Lepisosteus oculatus: one gene and its partner. The protein of the gene in region 1 purifies or fractionates together with the protein of each later gene. This does not show direct contact. Links are inferred from orthologs where the notes say so. Each region holds a gene or a part of one and is shown on either strand. Other genes may lie near its edges.

Region 1 (10,702 bases):
TAGGCTAAAGGGAACACAGGAAGAGAAACAAGATCAGACGATTGTGAAAATCCAAGAGAAAATATCCCTCATAGTTTGACAAGTGCTTTGACTTCATCGCCCCACACACAATTGTCTACTGCAAGGTAAAAAGCATCAAAACATAAGTAAAAATAAAATTTTATTATACTGAGTTATAACAGACCTCTCATGGAAGTAGACTGGGTAATATAACAACAGCGTCACAGAAAATGTTGATTTTTATTTACGAACATCTCAAAGGCAAGGCAAGACGAGAACAAGGGAGTGATGGTGGAAAACCAACGAAACAGCAACATCCCACTTGAGTTACCTCCTGCAACGGCCTGTCTGTCTGTACAGTGGCAGAGTCACACGTCACGGGCAGTACCCTCAGTCCAGGTTGGCATTCAAGAACACGATTTCACGCACTTTGGAAGGGCTAAAGTGATTCCTCCTCTCTGCGGCCACCTGCCCGGTCTTGGACCAGCTGCGCCTGCAGGGCGCGCACGCGGTCACGACGCACAGCTTCGCGGCCGTGACCCGGGAGAGCCTCTGATACACCGGCCGGCGGCTGGCCCACCACTGCAAAGGCTCTGCCGTCCGGGCAAGCAGAGGCTCCTCCAGAAAGCTCTTGACCTCCAGCGCGGCCTCCGATGACGGGGTCTGTGCCGAAAGGAGGTGCGACACGCAGTCGTCGAAATCGCGCCAGAACAGCGCCGAACGCGTGGCGGCCGGCGCCTCGCGGTCGCTCTCTCCTGGCGCCTCCACAGCGGCGGGGGCAGCCGCGGCGGCGGCGGCGACGTGCACCTTCCCCGCGGCCGCCGCGACGCTGCTCACGGCCTCCTCCGCCGCTCGCTCGTCTGTGAACGCCCGCCTTTTAAACCGGGGGTCCAGCAGGGACGCCTCGGCCAGCTGCGGCTGCCGCTCGATGTCGTCGAACCTGCGGGACATCGCCGCCTGGAGGGCGTTGAGCATCCGCGCCACCGGGCCGGGAAGACCCGCGTTCCTCGGCCGCGTGGCGGCAATCCTCTGCAGGCCCCTGGCCAAGATGATGACTTTCGAAGCCGACACCGTCTTTTCCGCACTGATTTCAGCCACCGCTTCGTCGAAAGGTTTCAGAATCCCGCACGACTCGGCCACGGTGTCCCATTCTTCCGGAGTCAGAGTGGGCAGGGCGGCGTCGACCAGTGCCAGCATCGAAACAACGGCATCTCTGGCCCTGTGAAACCTAGTCAGCATGCGGTAAGTGGAATTCCATCGTCTGGCAACCTCCTGCTTCAGTTTCAGCTCCTCCATGCCCAGTTGCTTCTGTAGAGACCTAAGTTTTTCAGCTGCTGCAGGACTTCTGCGTACATATTCCACTATTACTTTAACCTTATCTACAGTGGGTCTGATTTCTTGCAGTGCTTCTCTCACCACAAGATCTATGGTGTGGGCAAAGCAAGGCAAGTGATTCCACCCAGTGAGCCTTATCGCTTCGGTCATATTAGCAGCATCATCATCACTGACAACTGCCACAACCTTGTCTTGTATATTCCAGTCCGCAGCAATCCGAAGGAGCTCATCTTTCAGGTTGGCAGCTGTGTGCCCGTCGGCGAATCCAAAGCAGTCAAGAAGGCATGAAGACATCTGGAAGTCGGGGTTTATGAAATGGCTGGTGACTGAAAGGTAGCTGTGCCCATTGTGTGTAACCGATGTCCAGCAGTCTGTGGTTAAACACACAGCTGATGCTCCCTTTACCTTCTCCTGCACTTCAGAAAGGGTTCTTTCATACAGCTGGGGAATGATCGTCCTGGTCAGAGCTTTTCTGTTTGGCAGCACGTAAGAGGGATTGAGCTGATTAATAAAAGCTCTGAAGCCCTTGTCTTGGACAACTGAAAATGGCTGATAATCCATCACTATCATTTTCGCAAGGGCTTCGTTCAGACGGTCCTGCCTCGCGGGCGACACGGCAGAGCTGCTGGCGCTGCTTTGCTCCAGGCTTGCACTGCTCCTGGTGGGGACCAAAGCCCGATGCTCGTCTTCCCTGCTCCGGGTGCTGCTCCCTGCAAGCGCCGAAGCTCCAGCTTCCTCCCTCAGCTGGGATCTGTTTGCGCCCGGCTGCACCAGGGGGTGCTTTGTTTTGAGGTGGCGGAGCAGGTTTGTAGTTGACCCTCCTTTGTAAGACAGCTCGCTGTGACATATGTCGCACTTGGCCGTGCTGCACGTGACCGAAGTGAAATGGCTCCAAATGGAGCTTCGCTTGCGGGTCGCGGCCGTCGTGCTCATCGTCCGAAACGACCACAAAACCGTTACCCAGCACGGCAGGTTTCAGAACGATCCAGCGAGCTCTGCGGCATGAAACAGCAAGACAACATGAGTCGCAAACATCACCAAGAGCCAGTCGTCAGTGCAGTTCAAATGGAAAAAAAAAAGGCTCAAGAGATCGCATCCGAGCGCTGTAGAACCGTCTTGTAAAAAAAAACACAAAGACAAAAATTCTCCAAAAACAGAAGCTACACAAAAGTGGAACCTTTCACCTCAGACCGAAAAGCCCATCAAAGAACAAGAGAGAAATAATGTCTGGTAGACACCTCAAAAAGGTAGTATTCAGATAAGATAAGATCACTTTATTAGCCATATACAATTTCTTGTATTGGGAATTGGTCTTTTTGCTTATCCAAGCTTTCTCTCTGTGAGACACACAGACAGGGAGAGAAGCTTGGGGTCAGAGCACAGGGCCAGCCATTTATACAGCACCCCTGGAGCACCTGGGGTTAAGGGCCTTTCTCAGGGGCCCAACGGAGTAGGATTCCTCTGCCAGCCGCGGGATTTGAACCGGCAACCTTCCAGCCACAGGCACAGATCCTTAGCCGCAGAGCCACCGCTCTGCCCCAATCACACAAGTATAAGACAAACAGTACCTTTCTGAAAGTCAGACTCATCAGTGCTCAAATCACCTGCGAGACCTCTGAGTGCACTTACTCTGAGTGGACAATACAAGAGAGGGCTCAGCAAGGAAGAACGTGTGGTCCTGGGAGTTTTACTTTAGATTGTTTTGAAGGGCTGCCTTTTCACTTTACAATTCTCAGAAAAGACCGAATTACCAACAAATACGATTTAATCATTTAGATATTTTAAAACTTCCTATCAACCATCTACAGCTCCATTGATAAGCTTATAACCACTTAATGCTTACCGTTTTGCACCCAGCATGCAATTTCAAGTTTTTTGTTCTCTGAGCTCTATGTCTGGACCTGAACTGTTCCGCAAAAGGATGGCTTACCCACCTCCCAAATAAGGCTATTTGAAATATTCCATAAAACTCCCAATTTTCAAAAAAAAAATTCTACAACAGTCAATATTGGCTGCTTCAATGATCCTTGAGTGGGAAGGAAGGATGTTGAAAAGACAAATGGAAAACTTATGTGACACTGTATCCAGCAATTCAAACAGTGTACTTTGTCTTGCATTAAAGAAAAGACATACTGGTAGGGGCAATTCATCTAATAATCACATTTTTAAGCCAAAATTGAATTGAAAGTCTTATTTGAGTCACTGTTGATTTCGGATTACTTTAAAATATACATTAACAAAAAAATAAATAAAACTGGTATAATTATGTATCTCCTAGTATGTACATCTAATGTTATTATTATAGGCTGAATTTTTTTAAAAAATCGAATTAATGTAACCATCTGAAATATGCAGCAAAGTATATTCTTCGCGCACTATCACAAACCTCATACACTTCATTAATAAGAGGGTAATTTTATGTTTCACAATGTGCTATTGCTTTATGTTCACTGTTGCTTTATGTTCACCCGAGTTTCGATGTTCCTCCCATACTCACTAAAATCCGAGAGACATCATTTCCTTAGTTGGCTCGATGCTCGATTTGTCTCTCTAAATTGAATGACTTCGTGAATCAAATAAACGAATCAGAACGAATCGTCCGCGAATTGCACACCTCTTAATACGATTTAAAAGAAAAGATTTGGAAACAGCCACGCCACTCTACCGGTTTTCAATGTGAGGGTATTTATAGAGAACGATCACTTATTTAATTACGTTATTCCGGATATGTTATGAAAGAAAATAATTTTAAAGTCTGCTGCTGTTTGTAAAGCGAAAGCTTCACGGTGGTAGTACTCATTTATTTTCTATTAAACACACGCTCAACACACCCAGCTAAGAGAGCACGCCAGCCCCGTGCTGTCTATAACCCAGATTAGCTCACGGGCTGGCTACGCCTTTAATTCGTCTTGCGCATTTTGGAGGGTACTGTTCAAACGTGAGATGTCTCTTCATCTCCCACTCTAAATCTAGCCTAAATCGGTCCTCACCTGCTCCAACTGGCCCTTCAGACCCTCCAGCTGAGGTAATGTCAGCTCTGCAAGATTCACCGCCATATTAGAAGCAAAAGCAATCCCAGCGGCCGCGCCGACTTCCGGCAGAGACAGGAACTTGATGTTGCTTAGTAACAGGCGGTGCGCTTTGTCTGTCTCGTCTCGGTAATAAATGTGAAACCTCAGGAAGGCTACAAACTAGAGGCCAGTTCATTCGGCGGAGCCGGTTTGCATGCTAGCGATTTGCGCATCTCATCCAGTTGTTTCTTGAAAAAAAAAGCCAAGGTTTCAGTTGCAACGACATGAATGCGTAGCTTGTCCCACATTTCCATAGCCCTTTGTGTAAAGGAGCTTGTCAGTTTGGTCCCAGAACAATGTGGACAAACCTGACTACAATTTTCTATTTTTCTGCAAGTGCTGCCAGCATGTGAAGTTGGCTCATTGCAATTATCCTGTATAAGGCATTGAGATAAGGCTTCCACAAACATCAGTGTTGATTTAGGTCACAAATAAAGCTGGAGATAGTAAAACCATCAATTTTCTAATCACTTCATCCAATTCACAGTCACAGGGGAGCCAGAGCCTATCCTGGCAAGGCACAGGTGCATGGTGGGACACACCCTGGTTGGGACTCCAGTCCACTGCAGGGTAGTCACATGCACTCACACCAGGGTCAGTTTTCCCAGAAGCCAATTCACCTGCCAGCATGTCTTTGGACTCTGGGAGGAAACCTGTGTGAACCTGGGGAGACCATGCAAACTCCACACAGACTGCTCCCCAGGAATTGAACTCGGGGCCCCAGCGCTGTGAGGCAACACTGCTAAAAACCCCACCACCACACTGCCCTAATAGAGATCAGTTAAAAGAAAATCAACAGACTGCAACTGTAAAAATAAAAAAATACACATGCTCCTGCATTGATTTAAGAGTGACCTGTTAGACCTCCAGGATAACAGCACTATAGGACAGGGGTGGGGCCAACCAAGGCATAAAGATGGAGACCAGTTTAAACTTCTGTATGGCAGTTTAGTAAAACTATACACTTAACAGAACTTTTTCAAAAGGAGACCAAACCATTGCAAATATTTTCTTTATTACATACTTTAAAAAGGAATGCATACATTGTTCACAACCTTAAAATACATATACACAAAATGGTAGTTAAAAAATAAAAGCAAAAACCATAAACATATACTGGCCTAAATGTCAGGGGATATCCGAGCACACACTTGTAAATATAAATAAATGCACTGGATTTGGCTCTTTTTGGCTTGCTTGAATAAAGGCCAATGGGTTTGCATGAACAGTCTCAGGATAGTGAGAGATCCATAACTTTGTCTTGTCGACAACACTTTCCTTCACTTGGAGACCGTTGTAAAACCCTGGGAGTTTATCCCAGCTCCTGCATAGTCTGGCATTTCTAAATACAGGGAAACAAATATAAATCCCACTGCACAGCCAATTAGTTCCGCTGCAAGTTTAACAAGCTATATTATCTCATAAAAGCAAATGAATAATTAATGGCAGTTTCCAACCCATTTTCAGAACATGCTTAGACAGACGTGGAGATAATAAATTTCAAAATGCAGCTGCGGTTATTGCACTCAAGGACCCCACCCCCAGCTCCAGATAAAACCTGGAGAGATCAAGCGGATGCACAATGCTGGAATGTGGGGAGTTACAAGAAAGGCAGTCAGCGCAGAGACACGGGGAGACCGTACACCACCGGGGCAGCGCCGATGAGGTGTTTCAGCCGCGGCGCCTGGCGGGATGCGGTCATGTGATCCAGGAGGGGCGCCCCGCGACCGGCCCCCAGCCACAGCTGCAGGAGGGTCTTCATGAAGCGGTCGATGTCCCGGTCCGTCACATCCCACAGGTTGCCAAGGACCAGCGGGCTGGGAGAGATGGCAAGAATTGCTCATAACTAACATTTAAATGATGGGGATGGAGATGTACAGATACTGATGGATGCAAGTTACCAGGGAAGATTCCACTGGACAGCGACAGACTAGAAGAGCAATGCTGAGAGCAAGGTGCTGTGAAATGACAGGTGGCGGTACCTTTCCATATCAACATGCTGCAATAGCAGGTATACAAACTTATAAGCTATAACAGCATCACAAACACACAAGGTTACCATGGGCCAATGTGGCATCTTGCTGAAAAATGCCAGGGGCTGCCACCTGTTAACCAGCACCACTCCTTAACATACGATTCATCCATTTTTTAACAGCCTAATCCAATCCAAGCAACAGGTGCACAGCAGGATAAACCCTGGATGGGACACTAGTCCATCACAGGATACGCACACATACCAAGGACACATTTCCCAGGAGCCAGTTAACCTACCAGCATGTCTTTGAATGTGGGAGTAAACCGGAGCACCTGGAGGAACCCATGCAAACACAGGTAGCACAGCAACTCTACACAGATAGCAGCCCAGGTCCATAATTGAACACAAGGCCCGAGCTCAGTGACCCAGCGATACTGACCACTGCGTTGCCGTGCCCCCCTTAAGTTGCCCCACTCTTGACATGACATGAATAGAAATCAAGTCCCACGTGCCCATGTGTTCACAACAATAGCAGGCCACTGCTAGTATTTAAGTACAGCAGCAGCACGGAAGCACGGTGCTCTCTCACCAGCCAGCCATGAGGTAGTTGAGAACGATGCCTGTGCCTTCCAGTTCGCCTCGGACCGCCAGCGCAGCACTGCTGCAGCCGAAGAGGAGGGACACAGCGTGGAAATCCTGCCGCAGGACCGCCGAGCCGTCCAGGAACCGTGCCCCGGCCCCATGTCCCGCGTAACTGCGGAGGAGAGGCAGGTGGTTAGAAAGAGCCCACAGAAGCACACCCAGTGGAGCAGGAACTGCTGCCTCCACTAAGCTATCAGAGATCATTTGGATGGTTCAAACAACCTGTTTCTTAAAATCTTACTCAGCTGCTAACTGAGACGTAGGACTAAAACCTACAGAACTCCAGGCCACTGAGATCAGCAGGTACACTGCCCTGACACTCACACCGGGGCCAGTTTTCCCAGATGCCACCGGTTCGGTGGCATCTGGGAAAACTGGCCCCGGCAGAACCAGCATGTCTTTGGACTGAGAGAGGAAACTGGAGCACATGGAGGAAACTCATACAAACATGGGCAGGACATGCAAACTCCATGAAGATACCAGAGCACCACAGAGAGAGAGAGAATGGGGAGGCAGAGACAGACGGAGACTCGGGAACTGGCTGCTAGCACACACAGAAATGCAGAAGGGTGCAGACTGCCACACCAGTGATACTCACACATAGAGGTCCTGGGTGGAGAGGGCCTCTTGCACCTGCTCGGGGGTCGGGGCTCGGCCACACACACCCTGCCAGCCCTCCTCACTGCAGAGAAGGTCCAGGCCACCAGTCAGGAGGGGGGACGGGGCAAGAGGCACACCGGTGGAGAGAAGAGAAAAGCAAGGTGAGAAAAAACGAGAGCTAATTAAACAATTCTGTGCACCATCTCCCTTTTCTTGTCTTTGCACAAGCTGTTTTTGTTTTTACACTTGCTGTCACAGATCGGATCCAGCCCAGTGGTCAGGGCTCTAATCTTAGCTGGAAGGTGGCGGGTTCGAATGCTGATGTCGTGCAGTCATACTTTTAAGGGAGCTGAATCACATGTTGCTCCAGTAAGACGCCCTGAGGAGTCCAGCTCCAAGTCCAGCCATCCATTTTCTAACCACTGCCTTCAACTGAGGATCGCAGGGAAGCCAGAGCATATTCCACAAAGCAGTGGGCGCAAGGCAGAGTACACCCTGAACAGGACCCCAGTCCATCGCAGGGCATACAGACACACTCGCACCCGGGCCAATTTTCCCAGAAGCCAATTAACCTCCCAGGATGTCTCTGGACTGAGAGGAAACTGGAGCACCTGGAGCAAACCCACACAAACAGGGGGAGGGACATGCAAACTCCATGAAGATAGCACAAGGAGTCCGGAATGTAATGGAGCAGCAATCCTAACCACAGCTACACTGTGCCACCCTCCCAGCTCCAAGTCATTTTAGAAAAATGTCAGCCTAAATAAATGCTAGAAAACTGCACACATTAAGCCCTAATAGGCCTTCCCACAGTATAGTATGGGCCTGCTCCATTGAGCAGGCCACTAAAATTGCTCAAGTGGGACCTGTGCATTCATAACAGGTCGCACGCCAACAGGGTCACATGGGCAGAGCCTGCTGGCGCTGGAGCCCGCGGGTGTGCGCGCCTGCGGCAGGCTCTCACCTGGTGAACCAGTCCCGGAAGCGCTCCTCGGTGCCCAGCAGGTTGGCCTGTGGGTTCAACACGTAGAACGTGCGCCGTGGGTCCACACCCTGGTTCAGAACCGAGCGTGGGTCCAGCTGGGCAGGGAGAGAGAAGCAGTGAGTGTGGGCCGCTACAGCAGGCCGCTAAAAAAAGCCTAGTGCCACCACCTGCAAAGTTCCCCTGACTCTGCGAGCTAGTGAGTGCAGAAAAAACACTCCAAAGATGCAGCACCCAGAAGTTCTCGTATCAGTCTCTGCAAATCCAACACTGATTAATAGTACTGCACAAGACATTTGGATAACGCAAAGCCAACATTCCTAGTGTAGAAAGACGATCATTCTTTCATCAGCAGTTTATATTCCACAGGCACTTACTTTTATCTGCGAGAGACACACAAGTATTTTAAAGACTAAACTACAGCAAAATACACAATTTGACAAACTGCTTTGGTCTGTAATGAAAAAGAACTTGACCTGCAAGAATCTCATGGGCTTCTTGTTCATTATCCTTCCCACTTAAAGTACAAGGGTTTTCTCTGACAGAGCAGTGGCAACATGCTTGCTTCTTTATGACCATATTTCATAAAAAAGAAATGATGTAACTCATTCTGGCCCTTTGGAAGTTTTTCCTTCTGAATGATTTTGCCAGAGAGGCCCTCACCTCTCCAAGGGTGTGTGTGTGTGTGTGTGTGTGTGTGTGTGTGTGTGTGTGTGTGTGTGTGTGTGTGTGTCGCTCACCTCTCTCAGGATGCTGGGCGTGTGTGTGCGTGCGGATCGCTCACCTCTCTCAAGGCGTGTGTGTGTGTGGAACACTCACCTCTCTCAGGGCGCAGTGTCCCAGCAGGAAGTGCAGAGAGGGCAGCCGGGTGACAGCGCGGGCTCTCAGACAGGGCACACTCTCCCAGGGGAGCTTCTGCAGGTGCTGCACATACCAGCACACAGCAAAGATGAGGGCACACATTGTCTTCCCACAGACTCGCATTTTATTCGGGATGTCTACATTGCAATGGCATGTGTATATCATCTTTAGATTCTGTCCCCACATTTATAGCAATACATGTCCAAAATGCCAAAGTAGAACTCCATGCAATGGAGTGATCAGCAGCTTGAGTCCCCAACACTGGGGTTTATACAACAAGAACAGAAGTCAAAACAAGATCAGAAAGAGAAACAGGTGTGTGGTCACAGACCTCTGCAGACAAAAGGCTTTCGGTACAAGATCCAGAACTCTTCCAATCTATAGCAGTATTCCCAGGGTGCCAGTACCTTGTCCAGGATAAGGACGACATGTCCCTTTGGCTGGCTCTCCTGTCGGTCTTTCAGCACAGTGACGGCAGACTGCAGGAGGTGCTGTGCTTCATCGGGCTGCGTCGGACACAACCCCCCAGCCAGCAAGCGCAGGTCCGAGGGGGAGAGGAGAGGAGCGGCGGTCAGCACAGCCTGCAGCACAAGGGGAAAGCAGGGAGTAACCAGAGCACTCAGCATTCGATTCAGAGATCTAGCAAAGCTGGTGATGGACTTGGACCAGGGGTATCAGACAGAGCTGAGCTCTCCAGAACAAAAAACAAACCCTGAACGTTTCTCCATGCAAACATTTTTCTAATTTCTAATCTTCAATAATTCTCTAAAATGCATGGAAAAGTTGTCAAGGATTAGATCATAAAAGCACAAGGGCTCGATTAAGTAACAGTAGTGCTGTACTGGAACCGGAAGACACCAAGCTCTTGGGAATATGAACTAGACTGTGGAAAAAGTGGATGCTCATTGACCCCTGACCTTCAGCAAGTCTTCGCTGCTCTGGGCTCCACACTCAGAGAGCGCTTGATGCAGACAGGCAGCCTGCTTGGCCACCTCGGGGTCCTGACAATGGGGCAGCAGCAGGCCCCTCCAGCAGCTCAGCACCTGCTCCTCCATACTTTCTAACAGCGCCTGGAGTTAGAGATGAGAGACAGGGAAGAGAGGGCGGGGGGACAGCAATCAAAACCAAACCATCAGAAGAAAACCACAAAAAAAAAAGAAATCTGGGGGACCAGATCGATGGAAAGATATGAAGGCTGACCCGCTCCCCCTCTCACCTTCATCCTGCCATCCAGCA
Region 2 (10,441 bases), on another chromosome or scaffold:
GCAGACAATGAGAGCGCACCATGCGGGAATCAGGATTCCAGGCACAGGGAACAACTGGGAAAAACAGAGCTGGAGTGAAGATGTCAGATCAAACACCCAGAACCCAGTTAACAGCACAGACATCAGCGCTTCTTTCCATTATCTCCCATCCTTAACACTGTTTTAGTACTGGTGCCCATCAAACTGCATCCCTTATGCATAAACTCAAGCCTTGAATTCTACTTTCAGAGCTCAGGAAGAGTGCCCTTAAGTCATTTCCTCTATTAAATACATACAGCTGATTAATTACTTCTGCCCCTCAAACGTACTGAGCGCCACTGCTCCCAATTCTCCCAAGGAACTTCTGAGCTGTAACCATTTAAACTCTTACTAGACACAACCAGCAGGACCCTCACTGACAGAAGGTGACAGAATCAGACAGGCAGAACACGTGGAGCAGGGAAACAGCCCACAGTGGCCACTGACTGGAGCAAAGAGGAACCCAATGCTGTTGTTGTTTCTGAGCTAAGGATTAGCAGCCCAATCCTCCAGCAGTGCCTGAGGCAGTTAATCACAGAGCCTGACATCGAGCTGCTCCTTACTCATCCCCCCATCACCCTCACGTGTCCGACTGAGCAGACAGTGCCGAGCGGTATCCCTCTCCGGCCTGGGTGTGCAGGACCCAGCACTGCGGCGCGACCACACCACCTCCAAGCCAGGAACACCGAGCTGCTGGCTTGTCCCCATACAAGCGGAAGAGACTCTCAGCACCTTCCCCCAGCCCGGTCTGTGACATCAGCCCACAGCTGTAACACACTGTCCTCACCCAGCTACCCTGTTGGCCTCCACCAGCACCACTGCTCTGAAAACCGACAGCAGGTGCAACTGACCACACCACCCTGAGCAAACCTTCCTGCTCAGATCTGAAAAAGGACGACATGTTTATCGGATCAACAGATGACGGATCAGCAGGACGAATAAAAAGCGTCAAATGCCCTCATCCTGCCTCCCGCCCACCTTTGCTCTAAGCACAAAGCTCTCCAGGGTTATAACACCTTGCAGGAGGCTGCAGGAAATCAGGGGGTCAACACCGGATATAGGCCTCAAGGCCTTGACAGGTCAAGAGAACGGACATCTTCACAACGAACTGGGAATCGCAAACCAGAGCAGACAAGTGGAAACAAGTTACCCAGCTATGTGGTTGACGCCAATAAACTGGTTTCTTTCAAGAAACAACTGGGATGAGAAAACGTTCGTATGTAGTATACCAATCTCATGAAAACACATAGGGCAGATTTTACGGTAATACTGCACAAAGCCTGCAGGACAGCTTCATCTTTCAGACACCACAGAGATTCGGCAGAACATGTGAGCAATGCAGCAAGATCTGCTGAACTGGTCCCCGCCACCTGTCCATCTGCACAAGAAAGACAGTCATATAAGACTGGTGCGACAAGCGGATTTAATTAACACCAAACCCCACCGTAAGGGTGAAGCCAGACAGGCTCATTCCATAGCCCCTGGTACTATCACTATCACTGAGCTCCTCTCCCTCCCCCTCCGAGTTACAATACAGAAAAAGAAACCTATCCGTTTCCTTCCCACTTCAGGCCTCTGTGACTTTAATAGTAAGTGCATGACGATGACTCTCGGTACTATAAATGTAGACAAACTGGCTGACGTGAAGCCAAGCCTGTGAGGCCAAGTTAACACAACGTTGCAGTGCTGTATGGTACGGAAGAACGTTTTCAGGAACAATAGTCTCCAAATTGAGAAATTCGTTAAACACCTGCAAGTGGAATGACATGTTGGATTGCAAAAACGAAATACTATTATTAGCTTGAGATAAAATTAAACATTTTCAATTACAAACCCATCTAACTCTCCACAAAAGTAATGACAACACCAGTACTGTGCACTGGGAAACACAAGAAACCTATCCAGTGCCATTTCTGAAAGCGGTTTGAACCAAATAAAAATGTCTACCATTCGCAGAAGGCTAGGATTATTACACCAAGAGAAAATACTCATCACCAGTCTCTGTCAATCACACTTCCGACTGGACATATGAGCAAAAAACACTTGCTTTCCTGTGCATGTTTGCTTAACCTTGGACTTATCTGATTTCAGTCATTCTATTGGAAAATATTTGTTAAAAATCCCAAGACATTTTCCACTTCAGATCAGACCTACACAACACCCTTAGTGCTGTCAGGGGTTCATGTTCCCTCAAAGGCAGTGACGCATTCAACCCAGCAACATTCTTCAGAATGAACAGTGAAACACCAACCAGAGGTACTTCTTTACACAAAGGAACAGAAATTATCAATCCCAAAGAGTAAGCAAATCAACGGCTAGAATGCAGAAACCCTAAAGGTTTAATCACTAAAGCAATTTGAGGAGAAAGAAAGCACTTTATAAAGTAGTAAAAATGGAACAGGTTCCAGTTCAAGTCTCAGAGGAATCAGTCCAGGAAATGGAGAGAGCCGATACATCACTATTTGACTCCGGTATTTACAGAGAAAAAGGGTTAGATCTTCTGTAATATATCAGAGTTCTTTGAACAATCAGCAGTAATGGATAGAGATCATAAAATTTACATGAGTGGAAAGCTGTTGACAAAGTTCCTCATTAAAGTTAATTCTAATAACACAGACAACAGACACTCAAAGTAATGCATGCCCTTGGGTTCAGAACAGGTTAATGGACAGAAACAATTAGTACAGAAAAAAAGTACGACTGCTCAGACTGGCATTGGTACAGATGTAATTAGTGGAGTAGCATAAGAATATGTATCAGGATTGCCGCTCTCCCTAATTTTTAACCAGTGATCTAGGTTCCGGTATAGTTCACAGTCAAATGCACAGATGATATCACAATACAAGGATTAGCAAACACTGTAGAAACTGCAAAGGAATGGTAAAGAGACTTTAGCCAAATTTAACTGCAACGTGTAGTGGGAATCTGGAATAAGCTGCCCAGCATTGCTGTCAGAGCCAATAAGAGCCTCTGGCTTCTTTCAAGACACAGCTGAATGAGATCCTCCAGTCAGAAGAGGAGGTAGATTTGTGTTCTTCACACAAATGGTGATGGGTGTCTGCCACAAGCTGCCCAGACATTTTGTTGAAACTGATACCCTGGGATTCTCGCAAGAAATGGACAGATGACCTTCGCTTAGTTAGATGGGCCAAATGGCCTCCTCTTCTCTGTGACCTTCCTAAGGTTCCAATCAGACTCTATATGTAATAGGAATGTAGTGATACGAGTGCCAAAGCCCACAGTCGCAACGCTGGGGAGGCACAGCAGAGCCGATCCGAACCGAACGGGCCTGGGAGACCCAGACAAGGGGGCGAGAGAGACGCGGGGGTACTCACATCCTGCCGACGCCCTCGTACATGCGCGTGTCCGCGGGCAGGGTGGTGACCTCCGTGTCCGTCAGGTGGGCGTGTTTCTTCATGCGGCTCAGCTGCTCGATCTGCAGGTCCGCCAGCTTGACCTTCTGCTGGGTGTCGATCACCTTCGCCTGCAGCTCGGCAAAAGCCTGCGGGTCACACCGCATCACGTCACACCGCGGCCACTCGCAGGCAGGAGGTCTGCCGTCGTCCCGCGTGGCGAGGCACTGCGAGCCGGGTTCGGAGGCACTGTGAGCCGGGTTCAGAGCTGCTGCCTTGCAGGGCTGTATGTTCTCCCCGGATTCGTGTGGGCTTCCTCCCACAGTTCAGAGACATGCTGGAAGGTTAGCTGGCTCCTAGGACAGCTGGCCTTGGTGTGAGTGTGTGTGTGTGTGTGTATCAGTGTGTGACTGGCATCCCGTCCAGGGTGTATCGCACTTTGCACCCACTGTTTGCCGGGATAGGCTCCAGCATCCCCGAAAACACCGAGCTGGACAGAGTGGTTAGAAAATGGATGGATGTACAATTATGCACTGAGTGCAGAATAATGAGATTGTAATAATTAAACAGAATAAGCATTATTTAACAAACGGGCAGGTGTAGCTGCTACAAGGGTAATTCAGATCTCCCACGTTATAGAAGCATAGTTTTTTAGTCGATGTTGGTAACGACCGCGATGAGATGCAACACATACGCGGGGTGTCGGTTCTTGGCCTGACTCACGTTTCGTGTAATCACGACAACCTGAACACTGGGCATCCTGCTGCTGGGACTCTACTAATCTACACTATCGCGGAGGAAATAATCGTTCTATTTCCGAAAGCAGAATGACATCTTAAAACACTTAACAAAGGAGATGTTTGGCTATATTAAAAACAAACTGACGCACGCTGCACGAACCAGATAATACGACGTTAATTTAAAAATCTAATAATGGTAAAATCACGCAATTAAAAGACAAAACAGGTATGACTTTAAGCTAGCTAGCCTTTTTCAAACTCAGAGGTCCTGTACACGCTTTCTCTCCACCACACGCTTTGTGACAGGATTAAAGGGCTGTCTCCCCGTTTTAAAACCATCAAAAGGCTACGACATGAGAGATAAAGTTACCAGAAACTAAAATGCTGCCGTTGAGAATGACCAACCGTTATCGTATAAGAATGAAATAAAACATTTTACCTTTTTCAACTCGAGATCTACGGGGGCTGCCATGTTGGAGAGGTGAACGCATGCGCAGTGAGTCCTTATCGGTTGCTAGGCTGCATGCCGGTAGCTCGAGTCATTACGTCATGCAGAGACGGTCTTACCTCGACCGCGTGTTAAAACGCCTTGTTACAGTCGTACATAGTAAAAGTACGTTTCATAACAGTGTGGCTTAGCTTTATTTTGCATAAAATGGAGCAATTCAGTGTGAACGTCTATATCTGAATAATTCATAATGCTTAGAAAGTGCATTCATATTAGTAGCATGACAGGTTGGACGAAATTGGTTTTGAGACATTGACATGAAGTGCAGCCATCCTTGATCTGCTGTCTCTGACTCCTGCCGGTCCCAGCCTGTGCTGGCGAGCTCTGCCCTGCTCCCTCACGGCCTGCTTTTCTAAAATTACACACGCCAAATTTAGACCTCAGTCTTTAGATTTAAAATGAATCTAAATATAGATAAGTACTATATTATGGTCTCAATTTCCCCGTGTCTGTATCGCCTCTGTTCCCTTGAATATGTCCCGGTTGTTTGAGAAACTAGGTCAATAAGACCATCTTCCTTAATAGGCAACCATGCAACCTGAGAGAGAAGCAGTTATCGACCAAATGAAGCACATCCATTTCACGATCCCCATCATAATATCCCGGTGTGTTCTGGAAGATGGAAACCTCCCTGTAGGATATCATATAAAGTATAAATTTGTACCTATTCCTAAAGATGGGGAAGACGGTTAAGTCATGAATCTGGAGGTGAGAGAGTATTCAGGTTTATGCCCCAAACTGTCTATAAAATTCCATCTCGTCCATCCAGTTTCTCACAGCTTTATCCTACACTGTGCAGGAGGAGAGCCAGCGCCCATCCCAGCAAGCAGCAGACTGAGGGCAGAGCTTTCCCTGGACAGTGCGACAGCCCTTCGCACTCTATGAAATGTTTTAATATTCTAATGAATCCCCGGTTTCGTCGATCATGGTAAAACTGCCTTCAGAAAGGCGTGATTTGATGGTTTGACAACCCCCGCCTGACAGCGCTCTCTGGGACCAGGGCTGGACGCCCCTGCTGTAGGCCTCCGGTCAGCCACGCTGACCACGCTGACTCCGCTGAAGCCAGGCAGAGCTGCGCCGGCTAGAAGACGGCCCGCGGGCCGGCCCGGCTCAGAGCTGACACCGGGAGCGTGCGGACACACCGCCCTTGACAGGACTGTCTGGGACGGAGCAGTGCCCGGCCCAGCGTATCGACTGGACACTGAACATCTGACCAATGCAGTTCAAAGTCGAGAAACGGTTAAAAGTCTCTAGTCAAGTGTGTCCATGGCAGCAATCGCAAAATTGGAGTGGAATGTGATCCAGGTTGTATAACTGGTGCAATCAGGAGAAGCCCCTGCTCCTTGTGGAAAATGTCTTGACCAGTGCTCAAGAAAACACACGTGATTGGAGGCTTCCTAATACTGAATCTTCAAATGTAGCTGTAGATTTTTCCAGTCATCCGAATGTGAAGTGAACGCCTGTGTTCTGGATCCCAGTGGGTTACTGCTGACCGCACACAGGTCCAACACGAGCTCCTGAGGCACCTCTGTCGGTCCTCAGCCTTCGCTGCTGTCGTCTGTCTCGCGGTGGCAGTGCGCGTGGTTTCGGCAGCTCGCCCTCCACCTGTGTGGGCTGGGTGACGCAGCCCCCCTCCAGCTGGGCCGGCCCCCCCCACTCTGGGCCGGTGCCGAGGTCGCGGGCCCGGGAGCAGGGTGCAGGTGTGGGGAGACCACAGGCCTTGGCCAAGCTGCAGATCTGTCATGTTTCCACTCAAGGAAGAAAGAAGAGCCTGAAGAAACACACGGACTGGGAGCTGCTATCTTTCAGCAAATAATAAAGGGATATTCGGCGGTTCAGGCAAGGAGTGATACAACCGACGAAGCAAGCCAAATGAATGTTAAGGGATTGCGTCATTAATTTCCTAGTGTTGGGGGTTAACTCTCCTGGCTGAGGAAGTGACATCACTGGCGGAGGCCCAGAGCTGCTGTCACGACCCCCCTCACTTGCGAGGGATGAACCAGCGAGGCAGCTGCAGGAGTGGAGTTGTGGCGCAGGGAGGAGTGTAGAAAAGATGGGCGCAGAGTTGTGCACAGGAGCCAGGTTTTTTTACTGAAGAGCAAGTTTACAGTTTGACCTCATCCTGAAATTCTAACAGCCCCGTTAGTAACAGCATGTGTGACAAGACACTTATTGGGCACACTTCAAACTTTTACCATGGCTTGACTGTGTTTTACTACTCTGGACCATGGGAATGCTGTGGTTTAAGAATAGTATTTCCATGGAGTATTTACTCACATGCACCACAGTAAATCCACGAGGCAAATGGGAAAATCCTATGGTAAATATATTGCAGTAAACTCTCAGATGGGCACCTATTCCATTCTTGTGCTGAGACCCTTTTCATTGATGGGAAGAGGACAAGACCCCTAAGGGCCACTGTAAATAAAGTAATCCTCAGATTAAATAGCTACGGAAAACTATATGAATAAGATCGGCCTGTTTAACCAAAGACCATAAGTCTTTTTTTAAAGTCTGCCTTTTCCAGTTCAGCTGAGTTATTAATGTCCCAGCTGAGACAATAGCCAAGCCTTAACCGGGCTCGACAGGAAATATCTCCAGTCAAAATCAAAATGCGTCGCTCCTCTTTCATGTCAGGAAATGGTGGTTTGCTCTGTTTTGAAACCCAGGATGCTCACATTGTGCTGTGCTGTATTTTCTGCAGCACTTGCATGGTGTGGCAAGAAGTTTATGAGAAATCAATGTGACAAAAAACACCAGCTTCCAGTTTGTGACATCAGTGGTGTACAACAGGATGCCCAGAAGTGAAGGAATACAGGCCATCTCAAGAGTCCTTCCTGACAGCTGCGCTCATGCTCAGTGCAGAATTCAACCACAGAGCATCCTGGGACTGTTTGGTTTATTCCTGCTGCTTCTGAGACCATGAGCTGGTCCTGTCTGCAGACTCACTTGCATGAGTGAAATGTGAATTCTCCTGTCGTCGTCAGGTTGAATTCACATTGAAGCTGTGTGGCTGGAAGTGAAGGAAGCTGTGTTTTGCATCAGAGAATTGGGAAAGGCTTCACAGCAACTGGATTACAAAAGGACCGTTTTGTGGCGTTACACAAGCCGGGCGAGGACCAGCCTGATCCTACCAACCGCTCCCTTATGTTCAACACGGTTTTGCAATAATTTGCTGAGTTTATATACAATGTCTTAGTATTTCACTCCAGCAATCTCCTTTACTGCATTTCATGCAGAAAGTACCCAGCCATTTACATTGGGGAAACTGGACTGGCCAGCCATTTCAGGAAACCTGTCAGAGCAGTTGGATCCAGAGACCTGCCTAAGCCCAGAGCCCCACAGTCTGCTTCCCCATGCTCATGAGCACTGACCATTCCACACACCCCTGGCCATGAGCACTGACCACTCCACCCCCACCTGGACGTGAGCACTGACCACTCCACCTCCACTGGACATGAGCACTGACCACTCCACCCCCACCTGGACGTGAGCACTGACCACTCCACCTCCACTGGACATGAGCACTGACCACTCCACACACCCCTGGCCATGAGCACTGACCACTCCACCCCCACCTGGACGTGAGCACTGACCACTCCACCTCCACTGGACATGAGCACTGACCACTCCACCCCCACCTGGCCATGAGCACTGACCACTCCACCCCCACCTGGACGTGAGCACTGACCACTCCACCTCCACTGGACATGAGCACTGACCACTCCACCCCCACCTGGACGTGAGCACTGACCACTCCACCTCCACTGGACATGAGCACTGACCACTCCACACACCCCTGGCCATGAGCACTGACCACTCCACCCCCACCTGGACGTGAGCACTGACCACTCCACCTCCACTGGACATGAGCACTGACCACTCCACCCCCACCTGGACGTGAGCACTGACCACTCCACCTCCACTGGACATGAGCACTGACCACTCCACACACCCCTGGCCATGAGCACTGACCACTCCACCCCCACCTGGACGTGAGCACTGACCACTCCACCTCCACTGGACATGAGCACTGACCACTCCACCCCCACCTGGACGTGAGCACTGACCACTCCACCTCCACTGGACATGAGCACTGACCACTCCACCCCCACCTGGACGTGAGCACTGACCACTCCACCTCCACTGGACGTGAGCACTGACCACTCCACCTCCACTGGACGTGAGCACTGACCACTCCACCCCCACCTGGACGTGAGCACTGACCACTCCACCCCCACCTGGACGTGAGCACTGACCACTCCACCTCCACTGGACATGAGCACTGACCACTCCACCTCCACTGGACGTGAGCACTGACCACTCCACCCCCACCTGGACGTGAGCACTGACCACTCCACCCCCACCTGGCCGTGAGCACTGACCACTCCACCCCCACTGGACATGAGCACTGACCACTCCACCTCCACTGGACGTGAGCACTGACCACTCCACCCCCACCTGGACGTGAGCACTGACCACTCCACCCCCACCTGGACATGAGCACTGACCACTCCACTTGTGTCCTTTCACTCGGAGGACAAGACTCCAGGCAGAGAAGAACATCTGGAGCTGGACTTGCCCCCCAGCGCTCAGCGATCGCTCCTCCTTTTCGTCCGTCTGCTCATGACCAACAGCTGGCAACGGTATCGGCAATCAAAGAACACCACAAAGTAGGACGTCTTTTTTTTTATTTCTACTGCTGCAGTTAGGAACAATTGTAATTGTTGCTCATACAAAAAACTTCAATGCAATGACATTTGTATTAAAAAGAGCATAACATTTCTGAATTCACATTAAATGGCAATATGTGTAATCTTGCAATTGGATACAGTTAGCACAGCATCGCATTTAACAGGACGTTATCTTACACATACAGTATATACACATTGTCTTTTACACTTAAGTTGCTTTTAATTTCATTGGATTTTTCTGGGAGTGCACTACACAGACTTACCAGAGCCAGTTCAAGAATACAATATTTTTTAACCTCCTATGAACTACAAATCTAATTTTGTTTAGTGTATGAAAAAGTAACCTTGATACAGTGAAACCCATTTAAAACATTATTTATCCTTCTGTTACCATGATAAGCCTGTGATGAGGATCTACCTTAACCCAGTGCAGAGAAAATGTTTGAACCCCCAGTATAATTATAGATAGAAAGAATTACAATTTCTTTCCATGGTACACTTGTTTTAATTAAAACCAGACAGTCTTTTCTTAAATATTCAAAAGGGCTCATATTTACCAACTTCATTGGTGCATGAAGTTGGGGAAAAAAAAAAAGTCATTAAGAATTGGTGTAGGTGAATTGAGGTGAATCCCTAGTTTATTCAGCATGATTAAGACGCTAATTAAAACGAGGTGGTTAAATAATTGAGCATTTAGTAAACATGGTCAGAAACATTGCGAGTTTGGCACTGACCACACAGGTTAGTGGAAACATCATGCCTCAATCAAAAGAGATTTCAGCAAGGATATCTGATGCTCCTCAGTTTGGGGCGAGTTATTAAAAGATGAAGAGAACCTGGTGAAGTCTAAGACTGTCATGAAAATAAATATGTCTATATAGGTCTAAAACTCACAAGAGTGCGACCCGCCCAGGGGCCACGTGCCCTCTCCCACCCGTCATGAGAATTAGACAGCAGGAGGTCAACATCACCAGCTCCGTCGGCCAGAGTGAATAATCGAGCCCCCAGATCTGCGACTTCAGGGAAGACAAGATTTTCTTTTTTTGCATCGCTAAGAGAAAAGTTGTATTTATTGCTCCTTGTTTAAATAAACACGCACACAAAAACAGTCATGAACAACGGGAAGGA

The links.
Region 2: the proteins of pfdn5 (region 1) and pfdn1 purify together in Homo sapiens (affinity purification with mass spectrometry; 7 studies listed by BioGRID and IntAct, with this or other methods). This does not show direct contact. The link is inferred for Lepisosteus oculatus from reciprocal best matches to the Homo sapiens genes PFDN5 and PFDN1.

The regions. Positions count from the first base shown.
Region 1 is NC_090696.1:20,601,040-20,611,741, forward strand, and holds the start of pfdn5 (prefoldin subunit 5), read right to left. Parts: upstream 4,437-10,702; 5' UTR 4,392-4,436; coding exon 4,326-4,391; intron 1-4,325. Other genes in the region: espl1 (separin), read right to left, coding at 6,022-6,223, 6,971-7,135, 7,622-7,705, 8,588-8,703, 9,425-9,529, 9,874-10,047, 10,384-10,536, 10,683-10,702. UniProt on the Homo sapiens protein: Binds specifically to cytosolic chaperonin (c-CPN) and transfers target proteins to it. Binds to nascent polypeptide chain and promotes folding in an environment in which there are many competing pathways for nonnative proteins.
Region 2 is NC_090706.1:41,107,441-41,117,881, reverse strand, and holds the start of pfdn1 (prefoldin subunit 1), read right to left. Parts: upstream 4,649-10,441; 5' UTR 4,584-4,648; coding exon 4,551-4,583; intron 3,521-4,550; coding exon 3,354-3,520; intron 1-3,353. UniProt on the Homo sapiens protein: Binds specifically to cytosolic chaperonin (c-CPN) and transfers target proteins to it. Binds to nascent polypeptide chain and promotes folding in an environment in which there are many competing pathways for nonnative proteins.